3 linked regions of the Anolis sagrei genome follow. The protein of the gene in region 1 purifies or fractionates together with the protein of each later gene. This does not show direct contact. Links are inferred from orthologs where the notes say so. Each region holds a gene or a part of one and is shown in the gene's direction. Other genes may lie near its edges. The genes, in order: RPP21, RPP40 and RPP30.

Region 1 (7,734 bases):
CAGCAACTGAAAAGAAACAGTTCTCAGTGGTTTAATGGAAGATCAAATATGCTGCATGATTTGAGGTTTTTTCACCACCCAGCATTTTTAGATTACAGCTCCCATGTCATTGGGTCTATAGATGCAGTCTAAGTTTTGGATAGCTTTAAAGGAGCTCTTCAAGATTCCCAGAACTGTGCAAGGGGCACCTACATGGTGTATCTTTGGACCATGACTCTTTGGACCATGACCCCAGACAGTGAACTTGGGCGTGCACATTCTCTAAGCCCACGAGAGAGACCAAAGGCAAACTCTTTCTGAACAAATCTAAGAAAATCATTAGGGTTGTCATAAACCAGAAACTACTTGAAAGCACACAACACTAACAACAACAACACTCTCTTGCTTCACTGCCATTTTTTCCATCTTTTTGTGTGTGCCCCCCCCCCCCCCCATACACACACATCCAAAATTGGAATTGCTTTGAAATACATTTGTTGGCAAATCAAAAGTTAAGCCAACTGTTTATAGGAGACACTGACACATACATAAATTATAATGATGAAATATATGGGGCCACAATACACCTCACAAAAACTTTTCATGTTTATTTTTAAAATATATGATTTGTTCAGTTCTTGTGGGTTTTTTTGAGCTATATAGCCATGTTCTAGAGGCATTTCTCCTGACGTTTCACCTGCATCTATGGCAAGCATCCTCAGAGACCTCACCTCTGAGGATGCTTGCCATAGATGCAGGCAAAACGTCAGGAGAAATGCCTCTAGAACATGGCCATATAGCCCGAAAAAACCCACAAGAACTGAGTGATTCCAGCCATGAAAGCCTTCGACAATATATGATTTGTTGCTTATTTTTCATAGACTTGAGAAGTTTCTCATTACGTTTGTGCGACACAGCTACATGCTGCATCCGACACCCTAACATGTAATGACACACAGTTTAGAAAGCTCTGAATTAGAGGTTCCTCATCATATCACACATTTAACCTTCATGCATTTGGATGCCACACACAGAAGGGAGGAAATGAAAAGTCTCACCTCCTATGTACACAATGCAGAATTCGGAAATTCTCAGCCAAATTCACAGTTCACTCCAAAGAAGTGTGGAACACCTCATCTTCAGCAGAACTTCTCAACTTGAGAGAAACAAACACGCAGTCAATGATTATATGCAGCAATATTTGCTCCTGAGTCAACAGTGTTTGTATGTGTGGAGAAGTCTTATCATGAGTGACTTGGTAGGCCCCAAGAATGAAGGCCAAAGCCTACAAAAACAAAAACTTCATATTATGATACCAAGTGGTATCATAACATGAAAGGAAGTCTCAGGTGCAAATGTAGTCTCAGCTCCTAATTATGAAGTATGTAAAGTGTGAATTGAAACGCAGCTTGGACCTTGATTTGTGATGGTCGTTTCACCAGGGACAACCTCAGAACATCTTTTAATGCTGGAAATCATAGAATACAGTATTGGAAGAAACATCAAGAGTCATTCAGTCCAATCTCGTTCTGTCATGCAAGAATATAGGGTCTGAGCACTCCTGACATGGCCATCCAACTTCTATTTTAAAACCTCCAGAGAAGGAGACTCAGAATATATTCACCTTGCTAAAATCACCAGAACTGCACACAGACAGAAGTTTTTGTAGTTTATCAAAAAGTAAAGATGAAAAGTTTAAAAAGCAAACAATGTTCCAAAGATCAATAAAACATAGCACTGTAAAGCACAATTCCAAATGGTACCAACAAAACAAAACAAAATGAGAACATGACAAAATCCCAAGACCATGGACACAGGAAAACGAGCACAAGTGCTTGATTGACTGATTTCCAGCTGGTGGGAAGGAAGCATGAAATGAGCAAGGCCATGTTCAGAACTACTCTCACCTGCTTCTCAACTCCATTCTCCTTTTATCAGTCATGGGATGACAAGCATGTGATAATGCTGTGAATTATAACTCCAGCTGTAGCCTGAAGCATATGTTCTCCGCAAATCATAGTTCAGCACTTACAATACTGACATATTGACCATACTGACCATGTCACACTACACAGAGAAGCCATTGAAATACACAAGCATGTGGACAATTTCAACAGAAAGGAGGAAACCATGAAAATGAACAAAATCTGGCTACCAGTATTAAAAAAAACTCTAAAATTGCAACAGCACAACAACAGAGAGGAAGCAGGCAGGGACATCTAATTACCTCTCAACAAACGTTTGCTCCAGGCACAGTCAGCCCATTGTATGCTAATCAAGGTGGTTAGTTGAAACATTCACACCTAGCTCCAGCAGACAAGAGTCCTTTGTCTCACCCTGGCCATTCCACAGATATATAAACCCTTTTTCCTAGTTCCAACAAACCTCACTACCTCTGAGGATGCTTGCCATAGATGCAGGCGAAACGTCACGAGAGAATGCCTCTAGACCATGGCCATACAGCCCGAAAAAACTTACAACCCAATACTGACATAGTTTGGACTTTTAATGCTGGTGTTATTTTCTTAAGTTTGTATAGAGCTAATTTTCATTCATTTTAACAATGGACCCAGATCACAAGGTTTTAATCCATTGCGCCACCAGGGGCTCCTTGCCATTCAATAACATCTGGGGACCCAAACTGAGCATTGAACATTGTGTGGGTATAGTTGGTCCTCTGTATCCACTGATTCTCCATCCATGGATTCAAAGCACCTTTGAAGGCAACCATAAGGCGGTAGTGACCCTCGATGATAATGGGTTTGACACGGTGGCGCAGTGGGTTAAACCCTTGTTGCCAGCAGGACTCAAGACCAACAGATCAGAGGTTTGATTCTGGGGAGTGTGCGGATGAGCTCCCCCTGTCAGCTCCAGCTCCCCATGCGGGGACATGAGAGAAGCCTCCCACAAAGATGGTAAAACATCAAAACATCAGGGTGTCCCCTGGGCAACGTCATTGCAGACAGCCAATTCTCTCACATCAGAAACGATTTGCAGTTTCCCAAGTAGCTCCTGACACAAGGAGAAAAAAAACTATTATAAGACCATGCAAAACTACAGCTCCCATTGTACATAGCACTGAGCCATGGCAGTTAAAGTGGTGTCAAACTGCATTTATTCTACACTGCAGATCCACTCATTGCATTAATTCTAAGGCGTAGATGCAAAGGATCTGCTTGCAGCATAATAAGCTTGCAGATCTAGAGACATACGAGGGTTGAATGAAAAGTAATGCCTCCACCTTTGTAACTTCTCAACAGATGGCAGCACTGGTATGCAGCAGGTACTGGCTTGTTCAGTAGACTCTCCTCTACAGTTCCATTTTGGCAGAAAGCCTTAGCATTCAACGGTTGAGTTGTTAAAATGCAAAGTATGGAACCCTGCTCAGACGGTCGGTCAATGCAACTTAAGCAACGTGCAGTCATTGAATTCTTGACAGCAGAAGGTGTCACCCCAAAGGAGATTCATCAGAGAATGCAAGCTGTTTATGGTGATTGTGTTGATGTTGAGGTGGGAACATCTGATTTGCGTGACAAACAAATAGTTGGACGTCCTGTGACAGCAACCACCGAGTTTCACAAGCAAAAGGTTGACAGATTGATTCAGGATGATCGTCGTATCGCTCAGAGAGAAATTTCAAGCATAATCGGCATTTCACAAGAACATATGGGTCACATTATTGCTTTGCTTGGCTATCAGAAGATCTGTGCAAGATGGGTACACTGCAGAACTTCAGAGACAGGATCCCACCATAGAATCATAGAATCAAAGAGTTGGAAGAGACCTCATGGGCCATCCAGTCCAACCCCCTGCCAAGAAGCAGGAATATTTCATTCAAATCACCCCTGACAGATGGCCATCCAGCCTCTGTTTAAAAGCTTCCAAAGAAGGAGCCTCCACCACACTCCGGGGCAGAGAGTTCCACTGCTGAATGGCTCTCACAGTCAGAAAGTTCTTCTTCATGTTCAGATGGAATCTCCTCTCTTGTAGTTTGAAGCCATTGTTCCGCGTCCTAGTCTCCAGGGAAGCAGAAAACAAGCTTGCTCCCTCCTCCCTGTGGCTTCCTCTCACATATTTATACATGGCTATCATATCCCCTCTCAGCCTTCTCTTCTTCAGGCTAAACATGCCCAGCTCCTTAAGCCGCTCCTCATAGGGCTTGTTCTCCAGACCTTTTATCATTTTAGTCGCTCTCCTCTGGACACTTTCCAGCTTGTCAACATCTCCCTTGAATTGTGGTGCCCAGAATTCGGCATCCTCCATACAGTCCAGATTTAGCACTGGCTGTCTTCCATCTGTTTCCGACAATGAAAGAAGATCTGCAGGGACATCATTATGTTTCTGATGAAGATGTTGAGAGAACTATGAGACGCTGGTTGCGGAAACAGTGTCGACTTGTTCCGTGACGGCTTCAGAAAACTTTGTTCATCGTTGGCAGAAATGTATCCAATTGTCCGGTGATTATGTGGAAAAAGTGAATAGTGGTAGTTAAAGAGCACATTCTAAGGATTATTTCTGCGTTTGATTTATTAAAATATTCCCATCCAAACCCAAGTAACGAAGGTGGAGGCATTACTTTTCATTCAACCCTGGTATATTGTTAGTCCTCCTGGCTAGAGGGCATCCTTGCACAAACAGTTTCATTGAAAGGAACCGGAAGGGACTACATTTCCCACAGGCCTTTGCTGCTCCAAAAACAGGAACACATCCCAACCAGGATCTTTATTAAGGCGACTAATCAAAGAGAGAAGCTTTTTTCTCATCCCTGGGTTTAAGAGTCAACTGGAGGAAAAGCAAAGTGGATTCTTCCAGGAGAATTAAAAGGCAAGGAACTCCTCTGTGTTGCTTTGGCTGCAGCAGGTTCTGTATCTGAGTTGTTTTTACACGTGTATTGCATTCCCACGTGCTTGTATATATTGCACAGGGTTGCAGCCCTGATCTGTAGCAGTCTATTGCTTGAAAGACCTGTGTGCTTGCTTATTTGTTTTGTTCTCTGTAGGATGGGTTGCATCTCCACTGCAGTTTGATACTGCTTTAACTGTCATTTTTTATTTATCGTGTCATCAGCAACCATTGTATTACAATTCTAACAGAGCAAAACAAACACAGAGATTAAAAAGAAAAGGAAAAAGAAGAAAGAAAGAGAAAAAAAAAAAAAAAAACCATACAGATTTTGCAAAATTTGGTATTTGGTTAAATGTCCTTTGACCAGTATCTGGCCACTTGGAGTGCCTCTGGGGTTGCCGCAAGAAGGTCCTCCATCGTGCATGTGGCAGGGCTCAGGGTGCATTGCAGCAGGTGGTCAGTGGTTTGCTCTTCTCCGCACTCGCATGCCGAGGATTCCACCCTGTAGCCCCATTTCTTAAGATTGGCTCTGCATCTCGTGGTGCCAGAGCGCAATCTGTTCAGCGCCTTCCAAGTCGCCCAGTCTTCTGAGTGCCCAGGGGGGAGTCTCTCATCTGGTATCACCCATGAATTGAGGTGCTGGGTTTGGGCCTGCCACTTTTGGACTCTCGCTTGCTGGGGTGTTCCAGCGAGTGTCTCTGTAGATCTAAGAAAACTATGTCTTGATTTAAGTCGTTGGCGTGCTGGCTGATACCCAAACAGGGGATGAGCTGGAGATGTCTCTGCCTTGGTCCTTTCACTATTGGCTGCTACTTCCCGGCGGATGTCAGGTGGTGCAATACCGGCTAAGCAGTGTAATTTCTCCAGTGGTGTGGGTCGCAGACACCCTGTGATAATGCGGCATGTCTCGTTAAGAGCCACATCTACTGTTTTAGTGTGGTGAGATGTGTTCCACACTGGGCATGCATACTCAGCAGCAGAGTAGCATAGCGCAAGGGCAGATGTCTTCACTGTGTCTGGTTGTGATCCCCAGGTTGTGCCAGTCAGCTTTCGTATGATGTTGTTTCTAGCGCCCACTTTTTGTTTGATGTTCAGGCAATGCTTCTTGTAGGTCAGAGCACGGTCCAAAGTGACTCCCAGGTATTTGGGTGTGCTGCAATGCTCCAGTGAGATTCCTTCCCAGGTAATCCTCAGAGCTCGGGATGCTTGTCTGTTCTTAAGGTGAAAGGCGCATGTCTGTGTTTTAGATGGATTAGGGATCAGATGGTTTTCCCTGTAATAGGCAGTAAGAGCGCCTAGAGCTTCGGAGAGCTTCTGTTCTACCATCTCAAAGCTCCCTGCTTGAGCAGTAATGGCACGATCATCAGCATAGATGAAACTCTCTGTCCCTTCTGGCAGTGGCTGGTCATTTGTGTAGATGTTGAACATGGATGGAGCAAGCACGCTCCCCTGAGGCAGGCCATTCTTCTGTTTCCGCCATCTGCTTCTCTGGCCCTGGAACTCAACAAAAAAGCTCCTGTTTTGTAGCAGGTTTCCTATGAGGCGGGTGAGGTGGTAGTCCTTTGTGATATTATACATTTTTCTCAGGAGGAGGCGGTGGTTCACAGTATCATAGGCTGCTGACAAGTCTATGAAGACAGCTCCTGTGATCTGCTGCCTTTCAAAGCCATCTTCTATGTGCTGAGTCAGGTTCAGCACTTGCGATGTGCAGCTTTTGCCTTTTCTGAAGCCAGCTTGCTGTGGGATCAAACAGGGGTCTATATTTTCCATAATTCTATGCAAAATAAGTCTCTCCAGAACTTTGTAGAGGTGGCACAACAGGGAGATTGGTCTGTAGCTTTTTGGGTCATTACGGTCTTTGCCTGGCTTCAAGATGGCGATGACTCTTGCTTTCCTCCAGATTTTGGGGATCTGACAGGATGCAGTGCAGTTGTTCATCAGCTCCAGCAGCCAGCGCCTTGCTTTTGGGCCAAAGTTCTTGATTTGTTCCATCCGTAGATCATCCAAGCCAGCTGCTTTGCCATTCTTACATTTGTTGAGAGCCATGTCCAATTCAGTAGATGTAAAAGGTTCATGGAGGTTATTGTTCTCAATCTCTGGTTGTCTGGCTATTGGTTTCTTTCCTACTTTGGTGGCAAGGTTGGGTTTCCCATTCTTCAAGAGTTGGTGTGCTATCTGATCTGCCTTTATGTTGGCATGGGTATTAGTTTGTGAGGGATCGTTGCTCAGCCGTCTCAGCAGCCTCCACGCCTTCTGGCTGCTCCTGCCCATGTCGACCTCTGTGATCAACTTGATCCACTGATCTTTCTTGGCTTCAGAGATGGAGGACACAATGCTCTGCGCTGCCTGTCATGGCTCAATGCTATGGAATTTTGGAGAGCTGTAGTTTTGCAAGGTCTTTTAGCCTTCTCTACCAAAGAGTGCTGGTGCCTCACCAAACTACAGCTCCCAGAATTCCATAGCATTGATCCAGGCTGTTGGCCCCAATTAAGGAAGCAACCCCTGGCAGTGAGACCAGAACACTTTAAGTGTCTGAAGCAGTGGTTCTCAACCTGGGGTCCCCAGATGTTTTTGGCCTACAACTCCCAGAAACCCCGGCCAGTTTACCAGCTGTTGGGATTTCTGGGAGTTGAAGGCCAAAAACATTTGGGGACCCTAGATTGAGAACCACTGGTCCGAAGCCTTTGGAACTCTCTGCTGCAGGCATGAAAGGAACAAATAATAATTTTGCCCAGGCGGGTTTCATGCAACAAGACCAATTAAAGTAGTGTCAAACTGCATTAATTCTCCTGTGCAGATCGGGCATGGGCAAACTTGGACCCTCTAGGTGTTTTGGACTTCAACTCCCACAATTCCTAACAGCCTCAGGCCCTTTCAGAGCCTGAGGCTGTTAGGAATTGTGGGAGCTGA
Region 2 (7,197 bases), on another chromosome or scaffold:
TCTCTTCCAGCAGGCCTCCCCAGTCAATTTTGAATTATGAATTTTAAATTCACATTCCACTTCTATTGTATTTTAATATTTGTACGATGTCTTTTAATCTATATGCATTTATAGTAATGTGTTTTAATATATGTATTTTATAGTATGTATTCTATGTGAATGTATTTTGACTGTGTTGTACCTTGCCTTGAGCTGTGAGGAGAGGAAATTAACAATTTTTATCATCATCATCAAACTAGCATATTGCACTGTTATTCACGTCTGCAATAAATAACTTCTTACCTAAGAGGGTACTGATACCTCCAAATACAAACATATAAAGTACAATCCCAGTGTAATCAGAGATTATGCTGGAAAAATGCCCCAACATGATACCAACTTATATTTGAATGCAATAACAGGTTTTATTTTAACAAAATATTATTTTTTTTAAATGGAAGGTGTGGTTCTCTGATGGCTTTTCCAGATGGTAGAGTGGAATAAACATGGCATTAAAAGTGTAAGAATTCATTTTACTTAATTAGCTTTTAATTATGCCCTTCACTGCAACAAATTAGGCTGGCTGCATGAACATTAAAATTGCATTAACCTTTAATTTGATTTTCTGCTCCATATTGCAATCTGATATATTTTTTTTTTAGTCTTCATCAGCAACAAAGTGCCTTTTTTCAGCCTTGGGCACAATTCTCATATGTAGAGGAAGGAATGGGCATTCACAAGAAGTACTTCCCTTATAGTTTGAACGGTATTCTTTTATAAATAGAATTTGAAGAAATAGCAATTATTTTGCAATCTATTACAAGAAATAACTTTCCAAATTCCATCTTACTTTATGTTTTTGTAGACTATTACCTGAAAGCATTCTGTACAGGCTACCTGATAATATATTCTTCTGTAATTTCATAAAACTGGATTTACTCAATTGTATTTTCTTAGGTCATTCATTTGTCAATTTACTCAGAATATTAAAGGAGATTGCCAGAGGTTAAAAGCTTTTCACATCTTAAAATGAAATATTTTTATAATGCATAAGGATTGCTCATATAAAATGACAAGATGCCTTATTTGGTCATTAAACACTTACTTTTATTTGTAGGATAATAAATGTTATTTTCAAATTGGGAACTAGTGCTTCAACACCTTAACATTTTATATACTAAGATAACAATGCATCAGCAATAAGGAGCCATCGGCGGCGCAATAGGTTAAACCCTTGTGCCGGCACGACCGAAGACCAAAAGGTCTGAGGTTTGAATCTGGGGAGAGCATGGATGAGCTCCCTCTGTCAGCTCCAGCTCCCCATGAGGGGACATGAGAGAAGTTTCCCACAAGGATGGTAAAACATCAAACACATCCGGATGTCCCCTGGGCAACGTCCTTTCAGATGGCCAATTCTCTCACACGAGAAGCGGCTTGCAGTTTTTCAAGTCACTCCTGATACACAAGAAAGCACTAACGCAACCAACTCCTATTATGAAATATTATAACCAAAGCACTAGCCATCCATTTGAAAACTACAAGAGTAAAGTTCACAGTAGTTTACCATGTCATGCTTGATTTTTGGTAAGACAGCCATTGAAAGGGGGAATGGCAGAAGCCTGAAATCATGTCAGAGAAGGTAGATTTCACTCTTACCACTGACCATGCTTTTGATCAGAATACTCTCATTGTGCCTCTGTTGTCCTCAATGGGAGGAAATTTCCTATGGGCATCGATTTCTTTCTATTTAAGTAACAAATATGACAAACATTCTGATAAGGAACTTAGTAGAAGTAAAAGGTTGACACCCCTATATGATATCTATCCAGTTGAAGTTCCCTTATGGAAACTATTCAAATAATTGTTTGAGAAACAAAGAATTTAATATTATGCTTAGATTTATCTGCATTGTTTATATTGCTTCATCTATGGGTTTTCTCATGATAACAGGGTGGCTATAAAACATAAGTACTCAATATGAGTACAATGCAACCCCGTATTTGTGGGGAGACGATCCAAAATCAATACCACCCAGTGGGTTCCTGAAACCATAGATAATAACAAACCCTATATTTTGACTACAAGCGCACCATTTAATTGCACTGGAGAGCCTAGAAAGGTCCACAAACACTTCTGGAGTGTTTGTATGTGTGTGTGTGTGTGGGGGGGGGAATACTTTTTGAAACGTGGTTAAGTGAAACTGTGGATATCGAATCTGTGGATAAGTAAGTTGCACTGTAATCAAAACTGACCATATTTACTTTCTCACAAGACGGTTGTTAAGAGTGAAAGGTAAAATTCACTACTAACTTTTTACATAGTGTAAGTGACATTAGTGAAATGACAGTAATTGGGGGAACATAGTCTAACTCTATTTTGTTGAACTGTATCATGAAGAGAAAGAAATGCTTTTGTTGTCATATGTGAAAACATGCATAACAGTTGCTTGGAAACTCCTGCCTCAACAGGTATTCACAAACATTAGGTATTATATATTCAGAAAATTCAATTGCCTGGAACATCTTGCTCTTTGAAGCAAGCAATTAGGTGTGTATAAAATGAACATTGATTAGAGATGTCACTTCAGGAAAAAGCGTTGCGTAAACAATGGAGGACAACCAATTGATTTATTATATTTTGTCCTGTATGTAATTTTGATGGCACACACTTGTTTTTCATGCGTGCCTCCCCTATGGCTTTGAGAATGACATACCTGAGTCTAATTCAATGAATGTAATGAGTGCAGATTTGACACTCAGCTCCAGATGCAAGCATTTAGATCCTACACCTTATTTTATTTATTTGAAGTATTTCACCCTGCTCTTCAACTGTAAATGGCTCTCGGGGCGTTTAAAAGATCAGTAATGACATAGTCTGTGCTCCCAGTTTTAAAAGACACAAAATGAAACAAAAAAGGGACAAGAAGAAAGCACGTAAAAAGCAATTTCAGATCTTAACTGCAGTGGCTTTCTTTTCAAAGTGACAAATCCTTAATATGCTAAGAAAATAAAGGAAACTGACAGCTCCACGTTGTCAGGTGGCAACTATTTTTTAACATGGTATTTAGAACCAGAAACATCAGCTACAGAAGAGATGGGCAGAAGGCAAAGCTGGATGATGTGCAAAACTTTCTGAAATGTTGAATAATAAGCAGTAACAAAATGACAGCTGTGCTAAATACCAATTTCTGGGCTCACAATCTTTTGATTCTATGTATACATACCATCTTCCTGTCCCTCTTTGGCACAGAGAACTCTGGTAAATATTCTCTCATCCCATTTTTCAGCTGTTTAAGAAAAATTACAACAGTTTCTCCTTCCATAACTCATAGTCTTCCTTGTCCTCCCAGCTTTCTAACTGCTGCAAACTGAGTTCAAAATGCAAAGTAGTTTGCACTCAATTGACTTTGCAGACAGGAAGGAGATAGAATCTCGCCCTTCCCAATAGACTTGGGCAAAAGCAAACGGCTGCAGCCTCTCCTAGCTTGTGTGGTCTACATTGTTAATAACATTTGCATGGCCACATGCCCTGCTTTTTTACACCTTTGCAACAGTCCTTGGCTAGCATTAAAAACAATTGCCACTGACAAAATCACCATAATGTCATTTGTTTCCAACTCTTAGTGAACTCATGGACCAGCCCATGCCAGAGCTCCCTGTCGGCCGTCACCACCATCAGCTCAAGGATACCATCCATCCACCTTGCCCTTGGTCGGCCCCTCTTCCTTTTTCCTTCCATTTTCGCCAGCATAATTGTCTTCTCTAAGCTTTCCTTTCTTCTCATGATGTGACCAAAGTACTTCATCTTTGCCCCTACTATTCTTCCCTCCAATGAGCAGTTGGGCTTTATTTCCTGAAGTATGGACTGTATATTCAGTACAATTCTACTCCCTGTCCTAATATTTTGCATAATAAGAGAGACAGCTCCTGACAATATACTGCTGCTAAAGACATTGCTTATTATAACCACAAGAATCAAAACTTCTTTCCTTGGGACAAGAAGCAACAACTTCACTTTGGCCATTCCAGTGAGGGCAACGAGGTATTGGGAGGAGCGCTTCCCCCAAGCAGGAAAATACGCATGCGCACAGATCGCCCCGCCCCCTTCTGACAACTCCTCCTCCTCGTCTCTCTCTCTCTCTCTCTCTCTCCCGGCTGCGCGTGACGTTCAGGCCCCGCCCCCTCCTTGGCCCTTCTCTCAGCTTGGGCGCGCGACCGGAGAGAAAAGGAAGAGGAAAGCATGTTCGTCCCTCTGAGATGGCTCCGCGAGACTCCCCGCCACCTGCTGGTGTGCGAGAGGAGCCACGTGCGGCACGAGCGCTCCCGCCACGCGGCGCACGTGCGCAACCACGCCTTCAATTGCCGGGTGAGCGCGCGGGAGGGAGGAGGGGGGGCGGCGCGTGGCGGCAAGAATTGTTGGTCTGCTGGAGGGGGCGTGGTCGAGGCTCTCTGAAGAGAAGCGTGACGTCACTTTAAGGCAGTAGAATACTCCTCCCCCCCCCGCCCTCTGGTGATGCCACCATCCTTTGCAGTTTTCCATGGTCCTGATTCCATAGCATTGACTGAGGGCAGTTGAAGTGGTGTCAAACTGCATTAAATCTAGGGTGTAGATGAACCCTTACCCTCATGCATATGAACCTCAGTGCACTTCACTTATTTCCACGAGCCCTGGCCTGCTAGTGGCAATTCCATTATGGCACCATGTCTTGTATGTTTGTAGGGTCTCCATAAGTGGAATTCCACTTGATGGCAGTCAACAACAACACAAAGTTGTATCCTGAAGTTCTCAGTGAGGTATTGTTGTTTACCCTCATTGAGAACTTGCAACTTGCGGTGATTCTATGTCGAATCTGTCAGAGGCAAGCTGGAATTTGAACCCTGGTCTCCAGAGTCATAGCCCAACACTCCAACCGCCATGCCATACTGGTTCTCCCATTATGGTCTATACCAGGGATCCACAAACGTTTTACCTCACTACCTCTGAGGATGCTTGCCATAGATGCAGGCGAAACGTCAGGAGAGAATGCCTCTAGACCATGGCCATATAGCCCGAAAAAACCTACAACAGCCCAAACTTATTAGTATTTCAATGGGAAGTGTGGGTCTGCTTTTGGCTGATGAGATAGGATTGTTGTTGTTATTGTGTGTTTTCAAGTCGTTTCAGACTTAGGTTGACCCTGAGCAAGGGCCGGATAAATGACCTTGGAAGGCCATATCCGGCCCCCGGGCCATAGTTTGAGGACCCCTGGCCTATACATTCCTTAGGAATGGAGTGTAGTGTTGGAAAGGACTAAATTACATAGAGCTGGAAAGGGCCCTGAAATCAAGCACGAAGACAGATAGATAACACACACTAGGGCTGGATCTATGCTTTGAACTAGATTATAATCTACACTGCCATATAATCTAGCTTAAAGGTGATATTCTGGATTCAGAAACTAGGTTATATGGTATATAACCCAGTTTCTGAACCCACTGCCATATAACCCAGTTTCCAGATCCAGAATATCATCTTAAAACTAGGTTATATGGCAGTGTAGACTCTCATAATGTAGTTCAAAGCAAAGAATCTCGATTCAGAAACTGGATTATATGGCAGTGTAAATCTAGCCCTATTGGGGCCTAACTGGCTGCCAAGGACCAGAGTTGTACATAAAGTACTCTCTAATACTTCCCTAATTTCCCAGCCGCTTGAAGTAATTGACCTATAGATACTTTCCAACTGAGTGTTCATGGCCAGAGAACAATAGATTATTGTTGTGCCATTGTTAAGATCCCATGTGTGCCTTCATGCCTGTCAAAGTCATATAGAGGCAGTGAAAATTGTATCAGCCAGCTTAGACCAATGAGAATGTGTCTTTAATTCTCTGTCAAAGCGATAAAAGCCTTGCGACCCCATTTGGGGGTGTGACAGACATTTTGTGTCCCATGCATCTTGTCCTTATTACTATGTCCGCAATAAACAGCTTCTGTAGTTGGAATTCAACATATGGCATGTCTTCCATTATATTGCCCTCTCAAGCCCAGGGAACTCCTGACTATGTGCGGAGACCTGGAGGAGTCCCAGAGAGCTATTGCTCCTACAAAGGATCTAAGTGTGGCATTGCTTTTGATCCAACCTGCTTGTAGCACTAGGTCAAGTTTATTTCAGCAGTACAAGTACATCTTAAAAATTCCACATAATTCACCAGTCACAGAGAAAACTATCTGTCCCAAGCAGCTCGCAGAAAGCCTGTTTTTATCCAGAAAGAGAGAGCGCTGCTTCAGGGTTGGTCTATGGTCCAAAGTGGATCTCAGGCCAAGATACTGGTCTGAGTCCCCCGAAACTACAGGTCTCCAGTTGCTCAATTGGCTATTCTTATTAGCCAAAGAAGTCAAGGTTATAGTTTGCTGGGGCAACAACATTACTTGCCATAGAATGCTAAAGACATTTTCAAACTACAACTCCCATGATCCCATAGCACTGAGCATGTCAGTTAACTGGTGTCCAACTGCATTAAATTAGAGTGAAATGGGAGATGTGGAGGGAAGAGTCAGATGGAAACGCAGTAAATGCAATGCATTGTTGAAAGCTTTCATGGCCAGAATCACTGGGTTGTTGTAGGTTTTTTCGGGCTATATGGCCATGTTCTAGAGGCATTCTCTCCTGACGTTTCACCTGCATCTATGGCAAGCATCCTCAGAGGTAGTGAGACCCTGAAGGTCGGCAGTTTGAATCCGCGAGATGGGGTGAATTCCTGTCTGTCCGGGCATGAGAGAAGCCTCCTACAGGATGGTAAAACATTTGGGCATCTCCTGGGCAAAGTCCTTGTAGATGGCCAATTCTCGCACACTATAAGCAACTTGCAGTTTCTCAAGCCATTTCTGATATGGGAAAAAAACTGAAACTGAAACTGAAAAGTATTATTTGATGTGTGCATAATAGCATCTTAATAATTTTACTTGCTATTGCAATATTTCATTTAAAGTACTTTGTATTGTTATAATTGTATGTTATCAAAAGAGCTGCTTAAAAAGAGATTTTGCAGTCAGATTTGTCAATTAGATCTCATTCGTGTCCCAAATGTTCTGTGAATAGGTGTCCTTGTTGATCCCTGAATGTGGAATGGTTCCAGAAATACTGAAAAATGCAGTTGGAGACTTTGGGGAGTACTACTTGGTGAAGAAATTGCCCCTTCATGAGTTTGTAACAGAGGAGTTTATTAATACATTTGTGAAA
Region 3 (7,780 bases), on another chromosome or scaffold:
CAAGGGTTTGCTTAATGCACCTTCTTCTTGGCATGCTTCCCCCTTTCTCCATTTGCACCCCTTCAAAATCTACAACGCTGTTGGTAATAACTAACGTTCCGTTAGAATACTCGAGGACCTGGGCTTTCCAGTTTCCTATGTTTATTCCACATTTTTGGTTAGCTTTAATCCCATCTTTAAATCTCTTTTGCTGTCCACCTTCATTTTGTTTTCCATTTGTGAGCTGGGAATAAACTAATTGCTTTGAGAGATGGTGAATGCTTGAGTGCTTGGATGTTTATTTCACATTTATTAAGTGTAAGCATTTTTTGTGTGCAAGCATAAGTTTAAACACTGGATTTGCATTGATAGGTAGACACAAAGGGGAACAGAGCTTGGGTAGCCATTCCAGCTCCTGAAAGGTATATGTCTATCAGTCCTACCCAAAAGTCAATCAGTGGTGCAGATTCAAATTTCATGTTGCAAATTGTTTAGTATATATTATCTCTAATCCATTCAGGAAGTTTTGTCCACATTTTCCCATTGTGACTGTTTCTTTCATGAATTCCCAATTAAAATTTTTGAATGCTTTTTCTGCATCTAAGAACAGGAGGGCTCCTTATTTTTCACTACACTTATGAAAATATTCTATCAGATTGAGTATCATTCTCGTGTTCTCTCTCATTTGTCTTCTAGGTAAGAAACCTGCTTGGTCTTCATGTATCCATCCAGTTAGCACTTTTTTTAATCCAGCAGTTCTCAAAGTGTGCTCTGCAGAGCCCTTGGGGCTCTGTCTAGCATACTGAGGGACTTCGTGGTTCCCTTCTTCTTAGTTAAAATTGTTTTCCATTTTTAATATTGTATTATTTCTTTCCTTTTCCTTTTTTCTTGCACAATGAATAAGATATGTGCAGTGTCATTGGAATTTGTTAGATTCCCATTAATTAGATTCACGTGCTTTATTTAATTATTTAAATTTATGAAGTAGTTATTGTACTTGCCTTAGATGTTTTATTCTTGGGAGTATTCGTTCATTTTGTATTGTTTTATGGCATTGACTGTTTGCCATTTTTCCTAGAAACCGCCCTGAGGGAGATAGGGTGGGTTACAAATAGAGTTTATTATCATTATGATGATTATTACTGTTTTTTTTCAAGCAGTTCACACAAACACACTCCATCCATCTGCCCCTAGCCCAGTCTGCTGTCAAATTTTAAAATGCAATGTGTCAAAAAGTTTGCCCATGCCTGATATATGTACATAAAGGTAAACGTAAAGATTTCCCCTGACATTAAGTCTAGGCATGTCTGACTCCAGGGAGTGGTGCCCATCTCCATTTCTAAACTGAAGAGCCAGTGTTGTCCAGAAACACCTCCAAGGTCATGTGGACAACATGACTGCACGGAGCACCATTACCTTCCTGCGGAGCGCCATCACCTTCCCGCAGAAGTGGTACCTATTGATCTACTCATATTTGCATGTTTCCGAACTGCTAGGTTGGCAGAAGCTGGGCCTTACAGGGGGAGCTCACCCGCTCCCCAGATTCGAACTGCCAGCAAGTTCAGCAGTTCAGTGGTTTAACCTGGTGCACCACCAGGGGGAACATATTTATTTTTTATTTATTTACGACATTTATATGCCACCCTTCTCACCCCCAACGGGACTCAGAGTGGCTTACTATATATATATATATATATATATATATATATACCCACACATACACACACACACATATATACACATACATACAATATATTATATTATTAGCATAGTGCAATATCAGTATTATATATTACTATATTGTACTATACCATTATATTGTAATATTATTAGTGATAACACATGTAATATAAAATCTATAATTATATCATATTATTATTGTTATTATATATTATCCTATATATTATACTATATATACAGTATATATAGTATAATATGTTATTAGTAATATTACATGTAATATAAAATCTATAATTATAATATCATATTATTATTGCTATTTTATATTATACTCTATATTATACTATATATACATTTTATATAGTACAATATATAGGATAATATATAAACATTCTTGGGCTCCACGTAAAAGTTTTGCTTCCAAAAGAGTTCCATGGCTGAAAATGTTTGAGAACCCCTGCTTTAATCTATTTGCCTGTATTAAAGCAAATATTGTATAATTTGTGTTTAGCAATGAAAAGGGTCTGTAATTCTGTATTTGTAGGGGATCTTGATCTTCTATTGGAATCAGTATAATATTGGCTTCTTTGCAGAACCCCTACATTGCTTTTGCAGAACCCTAGGGTTCCAAGGAACACAGTTAGGGAACTGCGGCTCTAAAGCAAAATCATGTTGCCCTTGAGATATTGTTGAACTGCAATGCCAGCATTCCTTATGGTTGGCTCTACTGACCAGGGCTGCTGAGAAGCACAGTTAAAGTACATCTGCCAAACTTTTTATGATTCCCAGCCCTGCTGTAAACTGTCATCAAGAAAGTTAGCAGGGTAATGCCTCCAAGTACAAAATGGTGTTATATCCGTTCAAAGCATGGCACAAGGCTGGCCCTAAAGTTAGTGAAAGAGAAATGATCATCTCAGGATACCTAAGATGTCAAGCAGTTGAAGGGAGAATGAGAAAATTAAGCAAAAATTAGTTTTTCTGGGGAAAATAATAAAAAGTATTTTTTTAAAAAAATGAAAAAAATTGTTTTGAATCAGGGAGCACACGACTCCTCTGTTGCGCCAGCTCCACTGGCTGCTAGTCTGCTACCGGGCACAATTTAAAGTGCTGGCTTTAGCCTATAAAGCCCTAAATGGTTCCGGTTCGGCTTACCTATCCGAACGTATCTCTCCTTATGAACCTGCTAGGACTTTAAGATCATCCGGGGAGGCCCTGCTCTCGATCCCGCCTTCCTTGCAGATGCATTTGGAGGGGACGAGAGACAAGGCCTTCTCAGTGGTGGCTCCTCGGCAATGGAACGCCCTTCCCAGGGATATAAAATTGGCTACCTCCCTTCTAGCATTCCTCAAAATTGTTAAGCCCTGGCTCTTCAAGCAAGCTTTTTCTATTGGAGCATAATTAGATGAAAACGAATATATGGACAACGAATATATAGAGCATAATTAGACAAAACGAATATATGGACAACAATTTTAGTAAGGAGACGCCGAGGACTTTGTTTTTATAGACATTATTGTTTCTTTTATATTACATACTAAATGTTGAATTGTTTTTATAATTGTTTGAACTGTATTTTGATAATTGTTATGGCATCTAATCACTGCCGACTATGAACCGCCTTGAGTCGCCTCTGGCTGAGAAAGATGGTATACAAATGCGGTAAATAAATAAATAAATAAATAAATAAAAACAACACAATGCACATTTTCCTGTATTTATTTCCAAAACTTACATTATTTCTAAAAATGATGTAACTTTTAAAAATGTAATAATAATACTTTGTTTATATATTGCAATATCTCCCCAAAGGGACTCAGGATAGTTTACAACAAAAGTAACAAAGTGGCAAGCATTCAATGCCAAAATGTATGTATTATGTCCAAACATTAAAGTTTTTGTTTTGATGCTCCTTTTCTCAGTTCTTTCAGGGTCTTTCCACATAGCCATATCATCCAGAATATCAAGGTAGATAATCCACAATACCTGCTTTGAACTGGATTATCTGAGTCCACACTGCCATACAATCCAGTTCAATATGGATTTTATACAGCTGTGTGGAAGGGGCCTTATTTATTTATTTATTTACAACATTTATATGCCAGCTTCTCACCACAAAGGGGACTCAGAGCGGCTTACAAGATATATATAGGTAAAGGTTGTCCCCGGACATTAGGTCCAGTCGTGTCCGACTCTGGGGGTTGGTGCTCATCTCCATTTCTAAGCTGACGAGCAGGCATTGTCCGTAGACACCTCCAAGGTAATGCGGCCGGCATGACAGCATGGAGCGCTATTACCTTCCTGTTACCTTCTACTCAAATTTGCATGTTTTCGAACTGCTAGATTGGTAGAAGCAGGGGCTAACAGCGGGAGCTCATCCCACTCCCCGGCGTTGTCCGTAGACACCTCCAAGGTAATGCGGCCGGCATGACCGCATGGAGCGCCCTTACCTTCCCGTTACCTTCTACTCACATTTGCATGTTTTCGAACTGCTATGTTGGCAGAAGCTGGGGCTGACAGCGGGAGCTCATCCCACTCCCCAGATTCGAACCTGCGACCTTTCAGTTTACAAGCTCAGCGGTTTAACCCAATGCGCCACCGGGGGCTCCCACAAGATATGTATGCATACAATATATTACATTATTAGCATAGTACAATATCAGTATTATATATTTCTACATTGTACAATACCATTATATTGTAATATTATTAGTAATATTACATGTCATATAAAATATATAATTATAATATCATATTAGTAGTATATATAGTCCTTATATCCCAGGATCTGATCCCAGATTATCTCCTTTGAACTGGATTATATGAGTCCCCACTGCCATATAATCCGGGATAAACAGATAATCTGGGATCACATCCTGGGATATAGGGCCTGTCTGGAAGGGCCCAGAGTTTACAGAATGGTATTGTATAGTATTAGTTGTGCCTATGTTTAGTTGCTCTTAAGCAAGCACAAACTACATTCATTTGGCATCTACTAAGGATGCTGGTGAGCTTGAGAGTCTACTGCTGGGGGAGGGAACTACAATCCCCAGCATGCAACGGGGCGCGATGTGGGCGGGGCGTGGAAGGGCTGCCTTTCTGGCCTGGCTCTAGCCCACGTGGGCGGGTGCAACATGGCGGGCTTTGTGGATCTGAACATCCCTCACTTGCCGGAGAAGGAGGCGCTTCGGAAGTTGGTGGAAACCGCGGCGCACCGTGAGTGTGTGTCAGGGGCAGGGAATCAGGCAGCCTGGGAATGCGTGGGAATGCGTGGACACGTGTTTCCCTCAGAGATCCAGACCCAGGCTGCGATAAAGGGCTGGCTGGCACTGTTTCTCCTTTCCCTTTGCTCTCTTTGGACCCTCTTCTGCCTTAACTAATTTGTCCCTTGGCTCCGTAAGAAACACCTCCTGATGCACTTTGACTTGGGTGCATCTACACTGTAGAATGAATGCGTTACAACTGCACTTTGCACTAGATCAATACTATGAGATCGTGGGAGTTGTAGTTTGATCAGGTCTTTAGCCTTCTCTACCAAAGGGCCCTTCCAGACATGCCCTGTATCTCAGGATCTGATTCCAGGTTTTCTGTTTATCCCAGATTATCTGGCAGTGTGGACTCATATAATCCAGTTTAAAGCAGACAACTTGGGATCTCTAGGTTGCTGTAGGTTTTCCGGGCTATATGGCCATGTTCTAGAAGCATTCTCTCCTGACGTTTCGCCTGCATCTATGGCAGGCATCCTAAGAGGTTATGACCTCACAACCTCTGAGAATGCCTGCCATAGATGCAGGCGAAACGTCAGGAGAGAATGCTTCTAGAGCATGGCCATACAGCCCGAAAAATCTACAGCAACCCAGTGATTCCAGAAATGAAAAGCCTTCGACAATAACTTGGGATCTGATCCTGGGATATAGGGCCTGTCTGGAAGGGCGAAACTACAACTCCCATGATCACATTGTATAGAGCCAGGGTAATAAATTCTTCAGTGTAGATGTAGCCCTTTACTGAGTCATCATATTCATCCATGTAAGGGCCCTTCCACACAAACCTATATTCCAGAATGTCAAGGCAAAAAATCCCTCAATATCTGCTTTGAACTGGGTTATCTGAGTCCACACTGCCATATAACCCAGTTCGAAGCAGATAATGTGAGATTTTATACAGCTGTGTGTAAGTGGCCTTAGCTGCCATATAAAATCCAGATGATCCGCTTTAACTGAATTATACGACAATGTAGACTCATATAATCCAGTTCAAAGCAGATAATAATTTATTTCTTACCCGCCTCTCTGCAGCCAAATAATGTTGGTTATATCTGCTTTGATAATCTGGATTATATGGCAGTGTAGAAAGGTCCCCAGTTTCTGAATACAGATTGTCTGGTTTAAACGGGATTATATGATAGTATACATCCAGGGCCCTTCTACACTACAGAATATCAAGGCAGAAAATCCCACAATATCTGCTTTGAACTGGGTTATCTGAGTCCACACTGTCATATATCCCAGATCAGCGTCAAATTATGTTATGATCTTACAAATTAATCACCAAAACATCATGTTTTACAACAAATCAACAGAAAAAGCAGTTCAGTATATGGTAACGTTATGTAGTAATTACTGTATTTATGAATTGAGCACCAAAACATTGCAATGTAGTGAAACAGGTGGGAGGCAAACTGTGTTGGATAATACAAAACACTGGATGAGCGAAGGTTGGATAAGCGAGACTCTACTGTAATAATTAGATTTCTTATCCGCCTCTCCCTGCGGCTCAGTCATGTGGATTATCTGCTTTGATAATTTGGATTATATGGCAGTGTAGAAAGGCCCCCATTTTCGGAATCCAGATTATTTGAACTGGATTAGATCGAGGTCTCTTCTACACTGCCAGTTGATCCAGAATATCAAGGCAGAAAATACCATAATGTCTGTTCTGAACTGTGTTATCTGAGTCCACACTGCCATGTATTTCAGTTCAAAGCAGAAAATGTGGGATTTTATTGAGGTGTGTAGAAGGGGGCACAGAATATCAAAGCAGACAATCCACATTATCTGATATCTCTTTCCGCTTCTATCCCCATCTACACTGCCCTATCATGCAGTATGGTCAGTGTAAATGCATTTCAAGGCATTATATGAATCTACACTAACTATACAAGTAATGTACACAACATACTTTGAATGATCACAAATTGCAAAATGAGTGATTCCTTTTCTTGCTAACATACACCGAATTGAATCAGTTTGCACCAAAATTTAATTCCTTTGTGTTTGCTTGGTATACAAGGAGCACTTCATATAATCAATGGATTGTTATTTTTATGATGATTTTTTGAAATTACTCTTCTTGTGAAAATAAAATTCAGCTTATTGGCTGAAGACCTCTGAGGTTTGGATGTGATGTTGTCTTAACTACTTTATAATGACAATAATCTATATATATAAATTTGTTAGGGGCATCCAACGAGGAAACAAAACTCAAAAACCCCCCAACGAAACTTAACCAAAATTCCCATGCCCATAACACAACCCACAAGGTACAAACATATCTACTCAAAATGAAAAACAACACAACAGCACACTCACAAAACGGCAAAACAACAAAACTCAAAAAACCCCCAATGAAACTTAACCAAAATCCCCGTGCCCATAACACAACCCACAAGGTACAAACATATCTACTCAAAATGAAAAACAACACAACAACACACTCACAAAACGGCAAAACAACAAAACTCAAACATCCCCCAACGAAACTTAACTAAAATCCCCGTGCCCATAACACAACCCACAAGGTACAAACATATCTACTCAAAATGAAAAACAACACAACAACACACTCACAAAACAGCAAAACAACAAAACTCAAAAATCCCCCAACGAAACTTAACCAAAATCCCCGTGCCCATAACACAACCCACAAGGTACAAACATATCTACTCAAAATGAAAAACAACACAACAACACACTCACAAAACGGCAAAACAACAAAACTCAAAAATCCCCCAACGAAACTTAACTAAAATCCCCGTGCCCATAACACAACCCACAAGGTACAAACATATCTACTCAAAATGAAAAACAACACAGCAACACACTCACAAAACGGCAAAAGAACA

Evidence for each region.
Region 2: the proteins of RPP21 (region 1) and RPP40 purify together in Homo sapiens (co-immunoprecipitation; 3 studies listed by BioGRID and IntAct, counting the BioPlex papers as one, with this or other methods). This does not show direct contact. The link is inferred for Anolis sagrei from reciprocal best matches to the Homo sapiens genes RPP21 and RPP40.
Region 3: the proteins of RPP21 (region 1) and RPP30 purify together in Homo sapiens (co-immunoprecipitation; 3 studies listed by BioGRID and IntAct, counting the BioPlex papers as one, with this or other methods). This does not show direct contact. The link is inferred for Anolis sagrei from reciprocal best matches to the Homo sapiens genes RPP21 and RPP30.

The regions. Positions count from the first base shown.
Region 1 is NC_090022.1:23,636,462-23,644,195, forward strand, and holds the start of RPP21 (ribonuclease P protein subunit p21), read left to right. Parts: upstream 1-4,663; 5' UTR 4,664-4,803; intron 4,804-7,734. UniProt on the Homo sapiens protein: Component of ribonuclease P, a ribonucleoprotein complex that generates mature tRNA molecules by cleaving their 5'-ends.
Region 2 is NC_090024.1:86,369,612-86,376,808, forward strand, and holds the start of RPP40 (ribonuclease P protein subunit p40), read left to right. Parts: upstream 1-4,102; 5' UTR 4,103-4,218; coding exon 4,219-4,344; intron 4,345-7,056; coding exon 7,057-7,197. UniProt on the Homo sapiens protein: Component of ribonuclease P, a ribonucleoprotein complex that generates mature tRNA molecules by cleaving their 5'-ends. Also a component of the MRP ribonuclease complex, which cleaves pre-rRNA sequences.
Region 3 is NC_090023.1:184,795,067-184,802,846, forward strand, and holds the start of RPP30 (ribonuclease P protein subunit p30), read left to right. Parts: upstream 1-4,745; 5' UTR 4,746-4,790; coding exon 4,791-4,872; intron 4,873-7,780. UniProt on the Homo sapiens protein: Component of ribonuclease P, a ribonucleoprotein complex that generates mature tRNA molecules by cleaving their 5'-ends. Also a component of the MRP ribonuclease complex, which cleaves pre-rRNA sequences.